3 linked regions of the Macaca fascicularis genome follow. The protein of the gene in region 2 binds, or shares a complex with, the protein of the main gene of each other region. Links are inferred from orthologs where the notes say so. Each region holds a gene or a part of one and is shown on either strand. Other genes may lie near its edges.

What was found. Proteins that work in one complex are often made in the same cells at the same time.
Region 1: CWC22 (region 2) and BUD13 share a complex: the UniProt entries of both Homo sapiens proteins name them as parts of the minor spliceosome. The link is inferred for Macaca fascicularis from reciprocal best matches to the Homo sapiens genes CWC22 and BUD13.
Region 3: CWC22 (region 2) and ARMC7 share a complex: the UniProt entries of both Homo sapiens proteins name them as parts of the minor spliceosome. The link is inferred for Macaca fascicularis from reciprocal best matches to the Homo sapiens genes CWC22 and ARMC7.

What each region holds. Positions count from the first base shown.
Region 1 is NC_088388.1:115,623,498-115,629,577, reverse strand, and holds the start of BUD13 (BUD13 homolog), read left to right. Parts: upstream 1-2,258; 5' UTR 2,259-2,284; coding exon 2,285-2,427; intron 2,428-3,170; exon of another isoform or gene 3,171-3,221; coding exon of another isoform or gene 3,222-3,265; intron 3,266-5,149; exon of another isoform or gene 5,150-5,207; coding exon of another isoform or gene 5,208-5,245; intron 5,246-5,340; coding exon 5,341-5,434; intron 5,435-6,080. UniProt on the Homo sapiens protein: Involved in pre-mRNA splicing as component of the activated spliceosome. As a component of the minor spliceosome, involved in the splicing of U12-type introns in pre-mRNAs.
Region 2 is NC_088386.1:75,510,993-75,516,290, forward strand, and holds part of CWC22 (pre-mRNA-splicing factor CWC22 homolog), read right to left. Parts: intron 3,808-5,298; coding exon 3,730-3,807; intron 3,135-3,729; coding exon 2,982-3,134; intron 1,354-2,981; coding exon 1,226-1,353; intron 1-1,225. UniProt on the Homo sapiens protein: Required for pre-mRNA splicing as component of the spliceosome. As a component of the minor spliceosome, involved in the splicing of U12-type introns in pre-mRNAs. Promotes exon-junction complex (EJC) assembly.
Region 3 is NC_088390.1:81,487,967-81,493,919, reverse strand, and holds the start of ARMC7 (armadillo repeat-containing protein 7), read right to left. Parts: upstream 3,823-5,953; 5' UTR 3,530-3,822; coding exon 3,439-3,529; intron 3,356-3,438; coding exon 3,212-3,355; intron 1-3,211. UniProt on the Homo sapiens protein: As a component of the minor spliceosome, involved in the splicing of U12-type introns in pre-mRNAs.

The DNA of each region.
Region 1 (6,080 bases), on a different chromosome or scaffold from region 2:
AACCCAGGCCAGACTCTGAAACCTGAGCTCTGAATATTTTGAGCTCAACTCCACAGTGACTGTATTTGTTCTATTAGAGACAACTGCAGAGAGAGGCCAAAGCTCAGAGCAGGCCACTGGCACTGGCATCTGATCCTGCTTAACTGCCCTGCAGCGTAGGATGGAGACACTTGGGTCTTGTCAGGCTAAGGGATGGGGTAGGATGGCTAGTGGTGGAATTGAAGAAAACAAATGGGCAGAAGGTGGCTGGGTGGAAGTTGAGCGGGCTATCCTGGCAGTGTTCACTGGAGAAGTGTGAGGCTTTCTGAATGCCTGCTGACACCAGGATGGGGCAGGGCTGTGCAGTGCAGTGCAGTGTGAGATACACCAAATTGGACTAGAAGCCAAGGCAGGGTGTGTAGGGGGTACCCCTGGGGCCCTCCACCTAGTGAAGCCCTATCAGCCCAGTGTCCTCTCACCAGCCCTCAGATCCCCAGCCAGTTTTCCTTTCTGGGCCTGTACTGCAACCCCCTCAACATGGCCCACTGGGTAAAAATTCATGCTTCAAGACTGATCCCCAAGCCTGTTTTATATTATATGAGTAAAGAATTTTTAAACACTTATCCCCAGATAATGTGTATTTATGAAGTATAGCCCTATCTGCTTGACTAATGTATTAAAACTGTCCTTTTTGACTCCTGGTCCAAGAAACTATTGTCTGCACTTCTGTGTAGTTGTGTATAGCATCCTGCAAATTCTGTCAGAAGTCTGTGTTTTCAGTAACACTAAAACTTCTCTCTCAAATGATACAAATTTTCAGCTTTAAGACAAGTTATGGGGAATGAATGTACAACATACTGACTATAGCTAATAATTCTGTATTGTTTACTTGAAGCTTGCTAAGACAAATTTAAGTGCCCCCCACCAAACTAGTACATAAATAAGTCTAGTGAAGGATGTTTTAATTAATTTGATTTTGGTAATCATTACACAATGTATAATTATATCCAATCATCACATTGTACACCTTGAATATATATAATTTTTGTCAAATAACCTTAATAAAGCTGGGAAGAAAACGATAAAAAAGTGACAATCTAACATATGATAAGGTAAAAAGATATTTCAAGAAATTTGGATGACCTCTTGCACCCCACTTTGCTAGCCTCTACTCCCAAGAGTCATGTTCTGGCTATGTGAAGTTGAGCAACTTCTTAAATCTTGCCAAGCTTCAGTTCTTATCTGTAAAATGTGATATTGAAACGATTTGAGAATTGTGAGGGTTAAATGAGATAATTCAGGTAAAGCTCTAAAACCCCTGCCAAGAATAAAGTCTTTTCTTCCCCCCCAAAACTTGAGTATTAGAATTCATTCTCTCTGGTTTCTCTCTTTTGCTATGCTAAAAATAGATCCAGGTCCTTTTCATTGTCAAGATGTTAGTTTCCTTCAAAAGATAACTGCGAGCTACTTGTAATATAACACCAGAAGAGTTATACAGGTCTTAGAAACTACGTTTTTCATAGTAATTATGTTGGTTTGCACTTCCTGGCTTCCCTTCTCAGACGGTAGGTACCTGGAAGCCTAGTGGAGCAGATTCTCCCCACTTGAAGATACTTATAAAAATAACGAACATAGTTCCGATGACCATATGCCCACCATATGCCCAACACTGCTCTGCGCACTTCACACAGTAGTGTTATCTCAGCCTGTGACCATTCCGAGTTAGGTGCCGGGATTCTCCCCGCTTTGTGATAACTTGCCCGAGGTAGTACAGCTAGCCAGCTATGGAACCAGCGCCTGTAGTCCCAGCTACTCGGGAGGCTGAGGCAGGAGAGTGGCGAGAACCCGGGAGGCGGAGCTTGCAGTGAGCTGAGATCCGGCCACTGCACTTCAGCCTGGGCGGCAGAGCGAGACTCCGTCTCAAAAAAAAAACAAAAAACAAAAAACAAACTCGGCTACGCTGCAGCCTGTGGCCCTCCACTTTCTTGCCCGTGCTCTGCAGTTTAGGTAACCTCTGGGGGCGGGGTCTTTTGGGTCAGGTTGTGGCCTCACAGAACAGCGCTTGCTGCGGTTGGATGGATGGGTGGGTGGGTGGATGAAGAGAAGAAACCTGGTGGCGTCGTCCCAGGGCTGTGGAGCGCCCCGAAGGTGAGCGCATCCCCCGCGAGGGCACCTGCCAGCCGCGCAGTTCTCAGCACTCTCCGCCACTTCCGGCCCTGGCCCCGCCCCCTCGGGTGGCTGGCGTCCGTTACGCGTTGAGGAATTTTGTCCCCAGCGCCGACCCGTCTCTGCCCTCGCCGCTGCCATGGCGGCAGCTCCGCCGCTTTCCAAGGCCGAGTATCTGAAGCGTTACTTGTCCGGGGCAGATGCCGGCGTCGACCGGGGGTCTGAGTCCGGTCGCAAGCGTCGCAAAAAGCGGCCGAAGCCTGGCGGGGCCGGCGGCAAGGGGTGAGTTGGTACCGGCCGGGGCGGGGCCTGCAACGACTCGCCACCCCTCACCCTTCCCAACTCCGCCCTCGGTCGCCTGGCGACTCCTTCCCTCTTGGCGGGTCTCCCGGCTTCTCCGCCGACCCCTGCTCATGCCCAGGGCCCCACTCACATCGCTTGAGGCCCCGCATTGCCTCTGCCGCCCCGCTTACACCTCGAGCCTCTGAGCAGTAGCGTCAGTGCGTTAGAGCCGGGCTGTAACTTTGATTACTCTTTTCCCGCCTTGGTAGACTTCCGTCCTCTCCCATGGAGAATGAATATTGCGCCCCGAGAATAATGGAGCGGATTCAAAGCCTCTGTGCTTGAATCTTTAGGGCCCGGTACCTGCCTGTGGGGATTCCCAAATCCCAAGGACTTGGTTCTGAATCAGAGACCTTGGATCACCTCCTGTTACTCTTAGTAATAGTCCTACTAACAAGAGAAGTTAACATTTACATAATTATACTTTTCTTGCCAGGCAACATTATAAGAAATTTAAACATAAGTTTGTTTAAGCCTTACAACAGTACCATGAACTGGGTATTATTTTCAAATGGGAAAACTTTGTGGCCCAATATAGTGGGCCCTACCAAATCGTTTTCCACCCAGAACCACAGAATGTGACATTTAGAAATAGGGTCTTTGGAGATGTAATCAGTTAAGATGAAGTCATACTTGATTAAGGTGGGTGCCAAATACAAAATGACTGTTTTCCTTTTAAAAAGAGGGAAGTATGGATACAGACACAGCAACAAAGGAAAAACGACCATGTCTAGATGAAGGCTGAGATTGGATTGGATTTATGTTGCCAAAAGCCAAGGTATGCCTGGGGCTACCAGAAGCTGGGAGAGGCAAGGAAAGATCCTTCCCTACCGACTTTGCAGGGAGGATGGCCTTGCAGACACCTGGATTTCAGATTGCTAGCTTCCAGAACTGTGAGAGTTTCTGTTGTTTTATGCCACGCAATTTTGTGGTACTTTGTTACAGTAACCCTAAGGCACTAAGATACCCAGTGAAGTCACATTGTTCTAAAGAACTAGTCCATGTTGTTTTCTGGTTTGGTGCTTGCCTTATTATTGTCCTCGTCTTTCTGCTTCGCTGACTTGTGTGGATCCTTTGGAGGCAGTGCCATGTGATGAAAGTAGCTTGAGTGTTGGAGCAGCACTGGTCAGAGTTCGAATCCTAGCTGTGCCACTTTATAGGCTGTGTACCCTTGGGCAAAGTGTTTCATCTCACTGAACTGCAGTTTCCTTATCTTTAAAATGGGAATAATACTGAATAATAATGCTTTTATGAAGTGGTGGTTGTGATTAGAGGGATTGCATTAAGTGACCCTGGCTTTTTGAATAACTTCACATCATGGCAGTCATGGTTATTATTGGGGCTCAACTATAGTTTATCCATGTAACAAGCATTTATTGAATACACTGTATTCCAGTTACTGAGGATGCCTCTGTGAACAAAAAGAAACATAGTCCCTGTTCTTGTGGAGCTTATAGTTTAGTGGGAATACAGGCTTTAAGCAACTAATTACACAACTAATTGGTGTATTTTCTTTATGATAAATGCAATGAAAGTATTCCAAGAGTTTTTAACAAGAGTTCTTAGTCTTTTTTTTTTTTTTTTTTTTTTGAGACAGAGTCTCACTCTGTCCCCCAGGCTGGAGTGCAGTGGCATGATCTCAGCTCACTGCAAGCTCCAACTACAGGGTTCACGCCATTCTCCTGCCTCAGCCTCCCAAGTAGCTGGGACTACAGGCACCCGCCACCACACCTGGCTAATTTTTTGTATTTTTAGTAGAGACAGGGTTTCACCATGTTAGCCAGGTTGGTCTCGATCTCCTGACCTCATGATCCACCTGCCTCAGCCTCCAAGTGTTGGGATTACAGGCGTGAGCCACTGGGCCCGGCCGGGTCCGTGGTCTTGAGTGAGTGTGAGATAGTGGGGGAATCCGGGAAGCAGTCAAGAAAAGTTTGCCAGACTGGGTGCGATGGCTCTCGCCTGTAATCCCAGCACTTTGGGAGGCCGAGGCGGGCGGATCATGAGGTCAGGAGATCAAGACCATCCTGGCTAACACAGTGAAACCCCATCTGTACTAAAAAAATACAAAAAATTAGCCGGGCATAGTGGCAGGCGCCTGTAGTCCCAGCTACTCGGGAGGCTGAGGCAGGAGAATGGCACGATCCCGGGAGGCGGAGCTTGCAGTGAGCTGAGATTGTGCCACTGCACTCCAACCTGGGCGACAGAGCAAGACTCCGTCTCAAAAAAAAAAAAAAAAAAAGTTTGCCAAAGGAAGTTAAATTTGTGTTAGGACCTGAAAAATGAGGAAGAGTTTCCTGGAATGAGGAAGAGTTTCCTAGCACTTTGGGAGGCCAAGGCGGGTGGATTGCTTGCATATAGGAGTTTGGGACCAGTCTGGGCAACATGGTTAAACCCTGTTTCTACAAAAAATTAAAAAAAAAAAAAGTCAGGCACAGTGGCACATGCCTGTAGTCTCAGCTACTTGGGAGACTGAGTGGAGAGAATAACTTAACCCCAGGAAGTCAAAGCTGCAGGGAGCCATGATGGTGCCCCTGCACTCCAGCCTGGGCAACAGTGTGAGACCCTGTCTCAAAAAAGAAAAAGATTGAGAAGTGTAGATCAGGCAGAGGGAAGGAACTGCATATGTGAAAACTGATGTGGTAGTAACTTGGCTCCTTCCTAGGCACCAAAGGATGACCCAGGGAGGTGTTCAACCAAGGAAGTAGCAGTAGGAGATTAAGATGACCTTGAAGACAAAGACTGGACCATGCAGGATCCTGTAGGATTTTGAACTTTTATTTTAAAACCAATAGATAAGTGTTTTTAGGCTGGTATCCTAGAATGACTCTTTTTGATCTTCTTCTTCTCGTTTAGAATGCGGATTGTGGATGATGATGTGAGCTGGACCGCTATCTCCACAAGTAAACCAGAAAAGGAGGAAGAGGAAGATGATGGAGATTTGCCTGTGGTATGTATCTTTGGGGCTCTCAGGATTTTGAAATGAAGCAAGCTTCTCAATTTTTTTTTTTTTTCAGACGGAGTCTCACTCTGTCTCCTGGGCTGGAGTGCAATGGCGTGATCTTGGCTCACTGCAACCTCCACCTCCTGGGTTCAGGCGATTCTCCTGCCTCAGCCTCCTGAGTAGCTGGGACTACAGGCACCCGTCGTCATGCCCGGCTAATTTTTTTTTTTTTGTATTTTTGTGGAGACGGGGTTTCACCATGTTGGCCAGGCTGGTCTTGAACTCCTGACCTCAGGTGATCCACCTACCTTGGCCTCCCAAAGTGCTGGGATTACAGGTGTGAGCCACTGTGCCAGGCCAGGCTTCTCAATTTCTTTTCCCAGCTCAGGGTAGATTTGTAGGGGGTTAGTTGAGAACAGAAAAGAGGTGACAGTTTCCAAAGAGCTGTTTAAAATAGTTTTCTTTGCTGATGCCTATACACCAACTCCTCTCTTTGTGGAGGGCCCATCAGCCTAGAAATGAGACGGATCACAGAGAGAGGACTTCTCAACATCAGTGATAGAGTAATGATGTGAATTGGCTGTGGTTCAGTTTGTTGGAATCTTCCTTAAAAACAATGCTGAGGTTCAATTATAGGGAACTTTTTATTTGC
Region 2 (5,298 bases):
TATAGTATACATATACACACATATGTATATAAAGTATATGTACAAAAAATGTTAAAAACCTCCTCTGTTGTATGTACACATACATACACATATGTAGAACTGTGCAAAGTACTGGGGGAGAGGTGAAAGTAGTCAACAAAAGGGAGAAATCAAGGATGAAGACCATGTAATTACAGTATCTATGGACTGAGACAACAGAAAGACACTAACAAAACAAGGTGGTTTTGGACATTTGGTTTTCAGCAATGCACTGAATAACTACTCAGTGGAGTCAGAAAAAACTTTCTCATAGAAAACGGTAAAATATAAAAAGAATGATTAAGAGCTTGCCAGATAGATCAAGAAGACACGGAAATGCCAACAGTAGAAACCGAGGTAAGCAAGCATGAAAGAGCCAGATGTGTTTCACAAACTTGGCAATGTTGGTGTGGCTGGAGTACAGCTTGCTGAAGAGAGAGAAGATGAACCTGGTCAAGTAGACAGGGACCAAATAAGTAAGTATATGAAGCCAAGAGAAGTGGATGAAATAGTCCAGAGACAGTGTGTGGAACTCAGGAACACTGAAGAGGCAGGCTGAAGAGGAGACTGAGAGAGGAAGTGAGAAGAAGTGTGGAGCCACAGTGAGCAGGTGGTCAACTGCGTAAGTGAGGCACAGAAGTAAAGAGGCATGCGGCCTGAGAAAGACAACTGAATATGACAGGTGGTCACTGAGAAATCTGAAAAGATGATTTCAGTAGTGTCAATGGAGTAGAAGTCAATCTAAGTGGCAATCTGAATAAATAGGAAATAAGAAAGGTGAGAGAGGATTACATAATAGTCCTGAAATAAGGCTCTAGTTCCATGCAATAGACTTGAAAAATTATTAATAGATGAAATATATATTCAAAATTGTCCACTGATAATATTAGTTATCATTCTAAGGCTTAAAATTAGGGTAAAAAGAAAATAAAATTATAAATATCACTGGAGAATTCAAGTGAGCATACAAAAATAATTCTGTATTTTCTAAGAAAATTTAAAAAGGCATTAATTTGAACTCCATTTAAACTAAAAACCACCATTAAAAGTTGCACGTTGTCCTGTGAGACATAACATGAGATTCATAGTGATTAATGTCCTAGGGGGCTTAGTACTTGTTTTTACAATCTTGGATGGGCTTATATCTGCTACAATGAGAGAAAACCAGAGGTCAGTAAGAATAAAAAGTGCTTAATGGCAAACTTACTCATCCTTTAATCTTGCATTAAGTTTAGGAAGACCCATGTATTCACACAGTTCCTGGAAAAATATTTTGACAAAAATTCTACTGGATGATGTAGTGGTTTCTTCACTCAGTTTTATACATTCAAGAACCTGAAAATTAAAGTTTAAAAAGACAAGTATATTTAAATTTATAAAAGACAGGACAGAGTGACCAATATTTGTAGGTTTGTTTCTCAAAATTACTATTTATTCCCATCTTCAACCAGAGTTATCTCTGAATATCTCCCCTTAATGCTGATACAAAGTTTAAAACTTCTCTATACTAACTTTCAAAATGTTAAGATGCTACAGAAATAGATTTCATTCTCTGTTTTGAGTAATGTGCTTTTTATAGCAGGGAAGATATCCTCTCTTGAGCATATAATGGTAAAGATTACTAGCTCCTATACCTTACTCATCAAAATGTGGTGTATATGAGGGTTTGGGGCAAAATGCCACTTAGCACATTAGACTACAATTTTGTTTACCACACATATGATTAAAAAAAAAGACAAAGTATGATGGTTTATTCTGAATATTAAGACTGTGGCTTAAAAACTGAAATGCCTAAAGAAATATTTTTAGGGCAAATAAAAATAAAAGTAACCTCCAGTTTTTATGGGTTATGTGTTCGGGGGGCCCATTAGTTAATTGTTTAAAATTCTCATTTCATTTTCTCAAAGAGGGGAAAAAAGAAGTCAAAAATTATTACAATTAGTCTCCTAGGTTAGATTACAAATGCCTATTAATGCAGCTGGACATACTTGGTACTTAAAAGTACTATAAAAATCTAACCAATGTTTATAAGTTTGAGATATTGCTTCATTCTACCATTAGTACGATGGCATTCTACCATTAGTAGGATGGCATTCTACAAGATAATCCTGTTCTTTCCTCCTGCCTCCTGGATGTAATTTCTCCTCTCCTCTTCTCTTCTCTTTCTTTCTTTCTATTCCTTTAGCAATTTTGCTTTTCTTAGAATCTAAGACTTTTTATTTTGTATCATTGCTATGGGCATATCTTACTTCTGATCTTACACAGTAACCCTCCTGAAAGAAGGGGCCATGTATAATTCACTTTGAATACCCAGCACCTCTCTCAATGACTCAGTATATAAGTGGTGGCTAACTAACAGTGGTTGAATAACAGCTGTAAAATAAATGCCAACTTAATGAAAGCATTCTAAATTTCAATCCAGTGCACATTTCCCCATCAAGAATGTATCTTTCTTTCTTCTATGACTATAGGATATCCTCTCTATAGCTTACCCAACTTCAATGTCTGCTAAAAAGAACGAATCTTTCTAAGACAATCATTTTTCTTAAACCCAACAAGAGGATCCACGGAGAGTTATTCCCTTAGGAATCAAGGGAGAGTAATTCAGAGACACATTTACCACCAAAATAGTGGCATATGTGGATGTGAGTGTGCGTGCATGTGTGTGTACAAAGAGAACACGAAAATCTGCAGTATTTTTCCTGAAGACACTCCTAGCCATCATATTGAAACACTGGCATGTTTGGACAGTTAATATAATACAAAGACAGTATTTCTCGTGTATTACTTACCTAGCTTTCTGATTCCTTATTACATGAAGATAATCTTAAAGACAGCAGTTCTACACATTTCATTTTAAAGCACATTTCATAATAGGATAAATATAGCTAGCTTATACCAAAATCTATTTGAGAATAATAGGGAATTAGGAAGGAAGTATAAATATTGACCCATGTACTTACACTCCATGGAAGTGAATCGGTGTATAAAAGGTGAGCAAACATCTTAGCAACATTTCTCAATTTGTTTGTTTCCAGGCGATGGATGGTATCATACTGTTCTTTGAATATACTTTCAAAGGATTCCATGTACTCTTTCTTCAGCATGCAAAATCGCTAATAAATAAAAAATCAGTACCATTAAAAATTGAATGTTAATACAATTATGAGCATATTAAATCCTAAATTTACTGAATCAAAACTTAATATGTTTTATATTTTCAAAGAGCATATATCACTAAATCCTTTTGTGCCATTTGATGCTCAAAAAAGAAGTTAATATACATGGTTTATAATTATCTGAGATTTACATGTTAAAACAAAATCATACATATAGCTGATCACATGTGGGTAGAGCTTAAAGAAATATTGTAGATCATGCTTTAATTGAGCTGCCTGAACATGTACTTGACTTTAGAAACTGCTCTGAGATTTTGAAAAGACAGTATTTAATTGTTCTCTATTGGGAAATTGTTACAAAGCATGGAAAATTCCAAAAAGTTCTGGAAAAGTGATATGCAAAGTTAAAGGACTGCAGAAATGAAGCAGAAAAAGAGGAAGGTGAAGACAGCGGGAAACCTGAGGAAGGAGAGAATAATTTGCTTTTAGCAAAAATGGTAATATGTTGTTATATGAGGCCAGACCATAAAGCAGAAATAATTAATTTACAATATTTGTTTTAAGAATTCCCTTAGTAGATGCTGGAACTCACCCCAGCTAATAAGCCAAAAAATTTTTCATATGTCCTCTGTTGGGCACAGCAATCAAGTATCATGTTGCAGAGTTCTTTCTATTTGGGAAAAAAAAATACATTAATGATTCAAAACACAAAGAGACTAAATATTATATAATTTACTAGTATGATAGTGACTGCCTGCATTTTTAAATAAGGGTTTAAAACACTTCAAAAACTTTGTAAATAAAATAAAAACCTCAATCTATGTTAAACTCATAATTTTTTAAAGCCTTGGGTCCGGCTGACAGTCATTTATGCTTCCACAGTCATTATACTAATTATATTAATTATAAAATTCTAAATTCATGATAAGTATGAACCATATCAAGAAACCTAGTATAGGAAACAGACATATAAGGGAGAGATTTAATACACTGCATTCTTTAAGGATTCTATGCAGAATTCTTTTAAATACAGACTCACCAACACAACATCTAACAATTCAGTTACATATGTCCCAAGGATATAAACTCAATTGCTAAGGAATATATTTAGTATGGAAAAGGCAGACCATTATTAGTCTTTACAGAGGCATAAAAGGGTACAACTTCAACGTTAACATAAACCACCCTTTGGTTGATAAAGAAACATCAAAAAACACTCTGTGGATGAATTTTCTCACCTCAAAATAAATGTTATTCACATAGACTTATCTATATGGATCTATATGAATAAATGGAATCATTCCATACCTACTAGTATATTGTTCCAATTAGCTATTCAGGTGCCATGTAAACCTCTCTGAAAATTCTGTTAAACTAATGGATAAATCCCCAGTAAAAAAATACTATCACCACAGCTGATTTCTAATTAACAAATTAGTTTTTAAATTAATATATTAATTCCTGAAATAATTCAAATGAAATATGTATTGATTATAGCAATGTCATAGATGAAAAAACTCAGCAACATAAGGTGAAGAGACAAAATGAAAAAAGGTATTAATTCATCTGATTAGTGTAATCTCTTTCTATAAAGATTTATCAGAAACTTAAAACAATTTTCCAAATAGAGTAACTGTAATATACTTGCATTGTACAAACAGAAAGCAAGCCTATAAAAACGTGTTGCTTTTTAATTTTGACCTTTATATTTTCAATTAACAATTTTGACATTTTGTCTTATTTACTAACACAGGATACAACCTAAGTAAAAATAGTAAATATTTTTAAAAATTATATCATTAAGTATTTACTGCATATATCTATGTTAACGGACATGTCAGAGACTCCAGAGGAGGACTTAGGGCAAGAAGTAGGAAGGGAACCTTGGAGAAGCACAGAACAGATACTTTAGAATTGTGCTGTCCAACATGGTAGCCGCTAGCCATTACAGCTAATGGCTATTTAAATTCAAATTATGTTAAATTATACATAAAATTAAAATTTTAGTTCTTCAGCCACGTTACTAGTCATATTTCAAGTACTTAAAAGCCACATGTGACTAGTGGCTACTTTACTAGAAAGTGCAGAATATAAATACTTCCATCAGTACAGGAAGTTGTATTGGACAGCACCGCTTTAGATACTGATACTTAGGGAACAA
Region 3 (5,953 bases), on a different chromosome or scaffold from region 2:
AGCAGCTGTGTGTGGGGCAGAGGCATGAAAAGGGAGGGGACAGAGGACATTTTAGAGACCAACTTTTTAGCATATTTGTTTGGCATAATAATCTTCTAGAGGAGCTGGCATCACTCGGGGACCTGGGCAACTAGGGCTCCTGCGCTGGCTTGGCTTTAGCAGGCCCCACTCTGGTCCTCTGCAGGGCAGTAAGTCCAGGGAACTTACCCAAAGCCCAGGGCCGCCCTTCCCCTGTACCTGGAGCTCCAGGCCCTAAACCCGCTCCCACGGCCGCATGGGCCTCTTTCCTGGATCCTGACTCCCAAGGGTGAATGCCACCGTTGGTGTGTGCACTTCCAAACCCAGGGAGTGGCCAAGGGGCAGCTGTCTGTGGGGGTGTGAATCTGCCCACACATGTGCTGGAGCCCCCTCATGGAGAGAAGACCCTCATTTGTAGTCTAGTCCCAGGAACCTCCTCTCCTCTCCTCTTTAGAGGAGACCTGGGCGGTCTTTGAAAAATTTGAATCACACTTATAATAATGTATTTTTAAAAATGTGTTACTTGGGCCAGGCGTGGTGGCTCACGACTGTAACCCCAGCACTTTGGGAGGCTGAGGCGGGCGGATCACCTGAGGTCAGGAGTTTGAGGCCAGCCTGGCCAACATGATGAAACCCCATCTCTACTAAAAACACAAAAATTAGCCAGGCATGGTGGCGGGCGCCTGTAATCCCACCTGCTCGGGAGGTTGAAGCAGGAGAATTGCTTGAACCCAGGAGGCAGAGGTTGCAGTGAGCTGAGATCGCACCACCACATTCCAGCCTGGGTGACAGAGCAAGACTCCATCTCAAAAAATAAAATAAAATAAAATAAAATAAAATAAAATAAAATAAAATAAAATGTGTTACTTGATCCTATCAAGACTTTCAACCCAATTTCTAGATTATAGGAAATAAAGGGGATAAAGAAACAAACCACAAAGAGGCAATGAGACAAACCGGAAGGGGGAACATTTGCATTCCTGGTTGGGGCCTTCAAGAATCAGTGTTATGAAATGAGGGTCTGTTTAGGGTTACAAGCGATTTATCTCTTGGGGCCAGGAGTTCAAGACCAGTCTGGGCAAGACGGTGAGACCGTGTGTCGACAACAAATTAAAAAAAAAAAAAAAAAAAAAAAAAGCCGAGTTCGAGACCAGTCTGGGCAACACAGTGAGATCCTCTCGAAAACAAATTAAAAACAAAAAAAAGCCGGGCATGGTGGTGTCCACCTGTAGTCACAGCTACTCGGGAGGCTAAGGCAGGAAGACTGCTAGAGCCCAGAAGTTTAAATTTATGGTGAACTATGATCACACCACTGTACTCCAGCCTAAGTGACACAGTGAGACCCTATCTCAAAAAAAAGAAAAAGATTTAAGATAATTTATGTAGTGACTTCCTTCCAATGGGTATAATACATAATACGTAAAGAGGGGAAAGAAAGAGTAATTTTACAGTGGAGAAGCCTGACAAGACTTCAGCCAGGTGATCACACGCGTGTTGCCCAGGCTGGAGTGCGGTGGCTATTTACAGGTGCAATCATGCAATCGTAGCACACTACAGCCTCAAACTCCTGGGCTCAAGCGATCCTCCTATCTGGGGCTACAGATGAGCACTGTGCATGGCTTGAAACAGGGATTTTTGTTTGTTCTCAAAATTTTGTCTGCTTCAAACTATTTCCCACGGCCTAGATCTAAGCTCCGGCAAGCTCTGGTGCCGCTTAACTCTCTATCCTCTTTTTGTGCCATTCTCCACTTCACTATAACGATCCTGCCACATTCATCTTCCTTCTGGCTCCTTCCTGTTTTAAGGCCTTTGCCCATGCTGTGTCCCTGCTAAAATGCCTTTCTCATGATGGCCAAAACGGAAGTAACCACCACCTTCTACTGCTGTTTCTCATCACCCCATTTATTTGCTGCTGAGCATCATCTTTTTTGTTTGCTAACCACCTGTCCCCCCTACTAGAATGTAAGCTCCTGAGGGACAAACACTTTCCCTAACCTGTTCACCATACTCCAGCATTTAGAGCAGTAGTTTACATATACGGTACATGCCCAGTAAATATCTGCCCAGTGAATAAATCAATAGGTCTTAAGATCATAACTACAAAAGAAGCCGTAAGTTACAGACTGCAAGCCATCTCTGCTTCTCCTGATATGAAAACACTAAATATGAGTTACTTTTGTTTCTAAGACAGATTCTCATTCTGTCACCCAGGCTGGAGTACAGTGGCCCAATCCCAGCTCACTGCAGCCTCGTCCTCCCAGGCTCAAGCAATCCTCCCACCTCAGCCTCCTGAGTAGCTGGGACACCACGCCAGACTAATTTTTTTTTTTTTTTTTTTTAGCAGAGATGGGCTTTTGCCAGGCCGGTCTTGAACTCCAGGACTCAAGTGATCTGCCTGCTTCGGCCGCCCAAAGTGCTGACATTACAGGTGTGAGCCACCTCACCCACCTGAAATTGTTGTTGTTTTTTTTTTTGAGACGGAGTCTCGCTGTTGCCCAGGCTGGGGTGCAGTGGCGCCACCTCGGCTCACAGCAACCTCTGCCTACCGGGTTCAAGTGATTCTCCTGCCTCAGCCTCCCGAGTAGCTGGGATTACAGGCGCCCGCCACGCCCGGCTAATTTTTGTATTTTTAGTTAGAGACGGGGTTTCATCATGTTGGCCAGACTGGTCTCGAACTCCTGATCTCAGGTGATCCGCCTGCCTCGGGCTCCCAAAGTGCTGGGATTACAGGCGTGTGCCACCGCGCCTGGCTACAAAACTGCTCTTTTTAAAACATCTTTTTTTGAGACATGGTCTCACTCCGTCGCCCAGGCTGGAGTGCAGTGGCGCAGTCTCAGCTCACTTTGGCCTCTGCCTCCCGGACTCAAGCAATCCTCCTGCTTCGGCCTCCAGAGTAGCTGGGCCTACAGGTGCACACCACTGTGTGCGGCTAATTTTTGCTCCCGCTTAGCTGGGATTACAGGCACTCGCCACCATGCCCAGCTAATTTTTGTACTTTTAGTAGAGACGAGGTTTTGCCATGTTGGCCAGGCTGGTCTCGAACTCCTGACCTCAGGTGATCCCCCCGCCTCGGCTTCCCAAAGTGCTGGGATTACATGTGTGAGCCACCACGCCAGGCCCCAAGGACTCACTTGTAACTCACTTATCTCACCCCGGCCCATTTAGCCATCTAGCGAACGGGCCCAGCCCTTACCAATAGCAAACTCAACCAGGGTCTCGTTCTCCTCCGACAGCGAATCGAGAAATAAATCCAGGACCTGCAGCTGCCGTAGATACTCGTAGTTGCTGGGGTCATAAGCGAAGTTGGCGAGGTTGGCGAGGACTTGCTCCTTGGCGTCTGCAACGGGAAAGCGGCACTGGAGCCAGGTCCGGGCGGCGGTCACAGCCGACCCTGTCACCTGGTCCCACCGTGGCTCTCACCTTGGCTCTGGGTCTCCTGGAATTCCGTGACCAGCGCCTGCAGGTATCCCAAACGCCCGACGTGGGGGTCCAACTTCGGCTTCTGGGCCATGGCCGGCGTGACGGAGGACCCCCAGGGACGGGCGGGCGGGTGGCAAAGGTGCAGGGGGAAAGCCGAGCGAGACCCTCACCCACTCTCCACCTGTCTGGCGAGGGAAGACGCGGGGACGGCAAATGGGTTTCTTTCTTGGGTTCAGACTCTGCAGTAATTTGCAGCTGGAAATGGAATGTGGGGAGATGGGCCGGGGTCTCAGAATCCTGTAGGAGTTGGGTCTGAAAATCGAAATTGGGGCGCGGGAGACAGGGAACCGTCTGCGGGTTGGGGCTGGCGGAGTGGGTACTGGCGCCCAGCCCCCGGCTGCCGGGCTCGGTTCCAGGCTCCCGGCGGAAGCCGCGCTGTCCCCACCCTACAAGGCGCGGAAGGGGCGGGACGAGGCAGGCGAGGGGCGGGGCCGTCGCCGAACTCCTTGGCGCGCGTGCGCGGCGCGCTTTCGGTTTTCTGGCTGCGGAAGCTCTTTAGCCTGCGCTGGAACCCGCTGCGACACGCTTCGCCGAGGGAGGTATGGGCGTGGGTGGGTGTACTGCGAGGAGCAGCCTTGTCTCCCATATCCTATGTCCAGCTGCAAATTATTGCAAAATCTGAACGCAAGAAAGAAACCCACTTGCCGCCCCCGCCAACAGGAAGGCGGGTGAGGGCCTCTCTCGGCTTTCCCGCCCCACCTTTCCCACTCTCCCGCCCGGCCCCCCGGGTCCTCCGCCGCCCCGACGTGGCCCAGAAGCCGAAAGTGAGGCACCCATGTCGGGCGGCTGGAATGACGTGAGGAGCAACTCAGGAGCGCAACGGAGTCTGGCAGCACCCATGTTGGGAGGACGTCGAGGCAGAAGCACCTCCAGGATCCCCATGGCTGGCGGGGCGCGGCCCAGCCTCCTTGACCAGGACGCCCCTTTAGAGCGCGGGCGTCAGCTCCTTACCCACCCCCATCAGTCTTTTGACCCTTTTGCAAAAAGCGTAGCGACCCCGACCCGTCCTCTATCCCAGCCCCGAGGTGAGTCCGCCACCTCTGGACAGAAATCAAAGGGGACGGGGTCATGTCCTGGTGCTTTTTGTCAGCCGGGTGGATGGCGCGCGCCCGGGGCAGCACCGGGGAGCCCGAGGAAGAGCCTTGTTTGTGGCGCTTTCGGGGCTTTCTGGATGCTGAAGCCCTTCGGCCGATTCCTTCTCGAGGATTCTCGGGAAGCAGGTGTGTGATGGATTACTACTCGTGGTTACAGGGAACAAAGCACCAGGGAAGGAGGTGGCCTTACTACACTCCCATCGCGTTTGACAACGTAGGGGTAGAGAGGTGGCTTAGGCTGTGAGTGTCCTGAGAATGCAAAAGTTGTTAATCTAATTGGAGTCACTTGTGTTAAAAAAAAAACAGAACAAAAAAACCCGGACAGAGTCGGAGAAAACCATGACAAGAGGGTTCTCATGCATAAATATCTGATAATGAAAACTATCACAAAGATTCTGCAAAAACCCCAACCTTGCACAAAACATACTTTTGAATGGCCATCTGCCCAGCAACTTTCCTGTCCAACGTTGAACTGGTCACCCTTGTTACTAATTCTTCTACCTAAGGATAATTATCTCAAAACAATTATGTAATCCTATTTTTTCCCTTAAAGCCTTTCTTTCTTTACCTCCCTGAATACCCATATAGTTTACTATGGCATGGATACTACCTTTGCAATGCCCTATGCCCAAATAGATACTATTTTCTTTGAGAGAGCCTCTCCTATTAAGGTTGACAAAGGCAAGGACCATATCTTAAGTCCTGGGCCTGGGTGAAGGCAGAGTGGCCTACATGCTCCAGCCAGCTGCAGCCCCATTGGAAGCAGGCCTCACCTCTGAGGTTTCAGGTCCTTGTGGTCAGCCCCTGCCCTATGCACATCCTCTGACGCAGGACTTTCGACCTTAGTCTGTGTGCCTAGGCCCGAGGACCCTCACCAAAGCCCTTTGGCTTCTATTGGGAGCCTCCACAGCCTGGGAAGTGCATGTCACCCCAGGGTGCCCAAGGAGTTTTTCTGCCTCTTGCTGGACAGAGCAGCAAATAGGAGCCCAGAAATAGGGAGAATGGAAGTAAGCTCCATCCTCCCTGCCCGGGAACTGCCCCAGACCTCCTCTAGAGGTTCGCAGGCCGTCAGCTAAGTGGGGATTGCAGAATCAGATGGACCATCCCATCCTCCCTCATTGGTCTTCTCCCTTTTTTTTTTTTTTTTTTTGAGACGGAGTCTCGCTCTGTTGCCAGGCTGGAGTGCAGTGGCGATCTCGGCTCACTGCAACCTCTGCCTCCCGGGTTCAAGTGATTCTCCTGCCTCAGCCTCCCGAGTAGCTGGGATTACCAGCACGCACCACTGTGCCCAGCTAATTTTTGTATTTTTAGCAGAGACGGCGTTTCACCATGTTGGCCAGGACGGTCTCAATATCTTGACC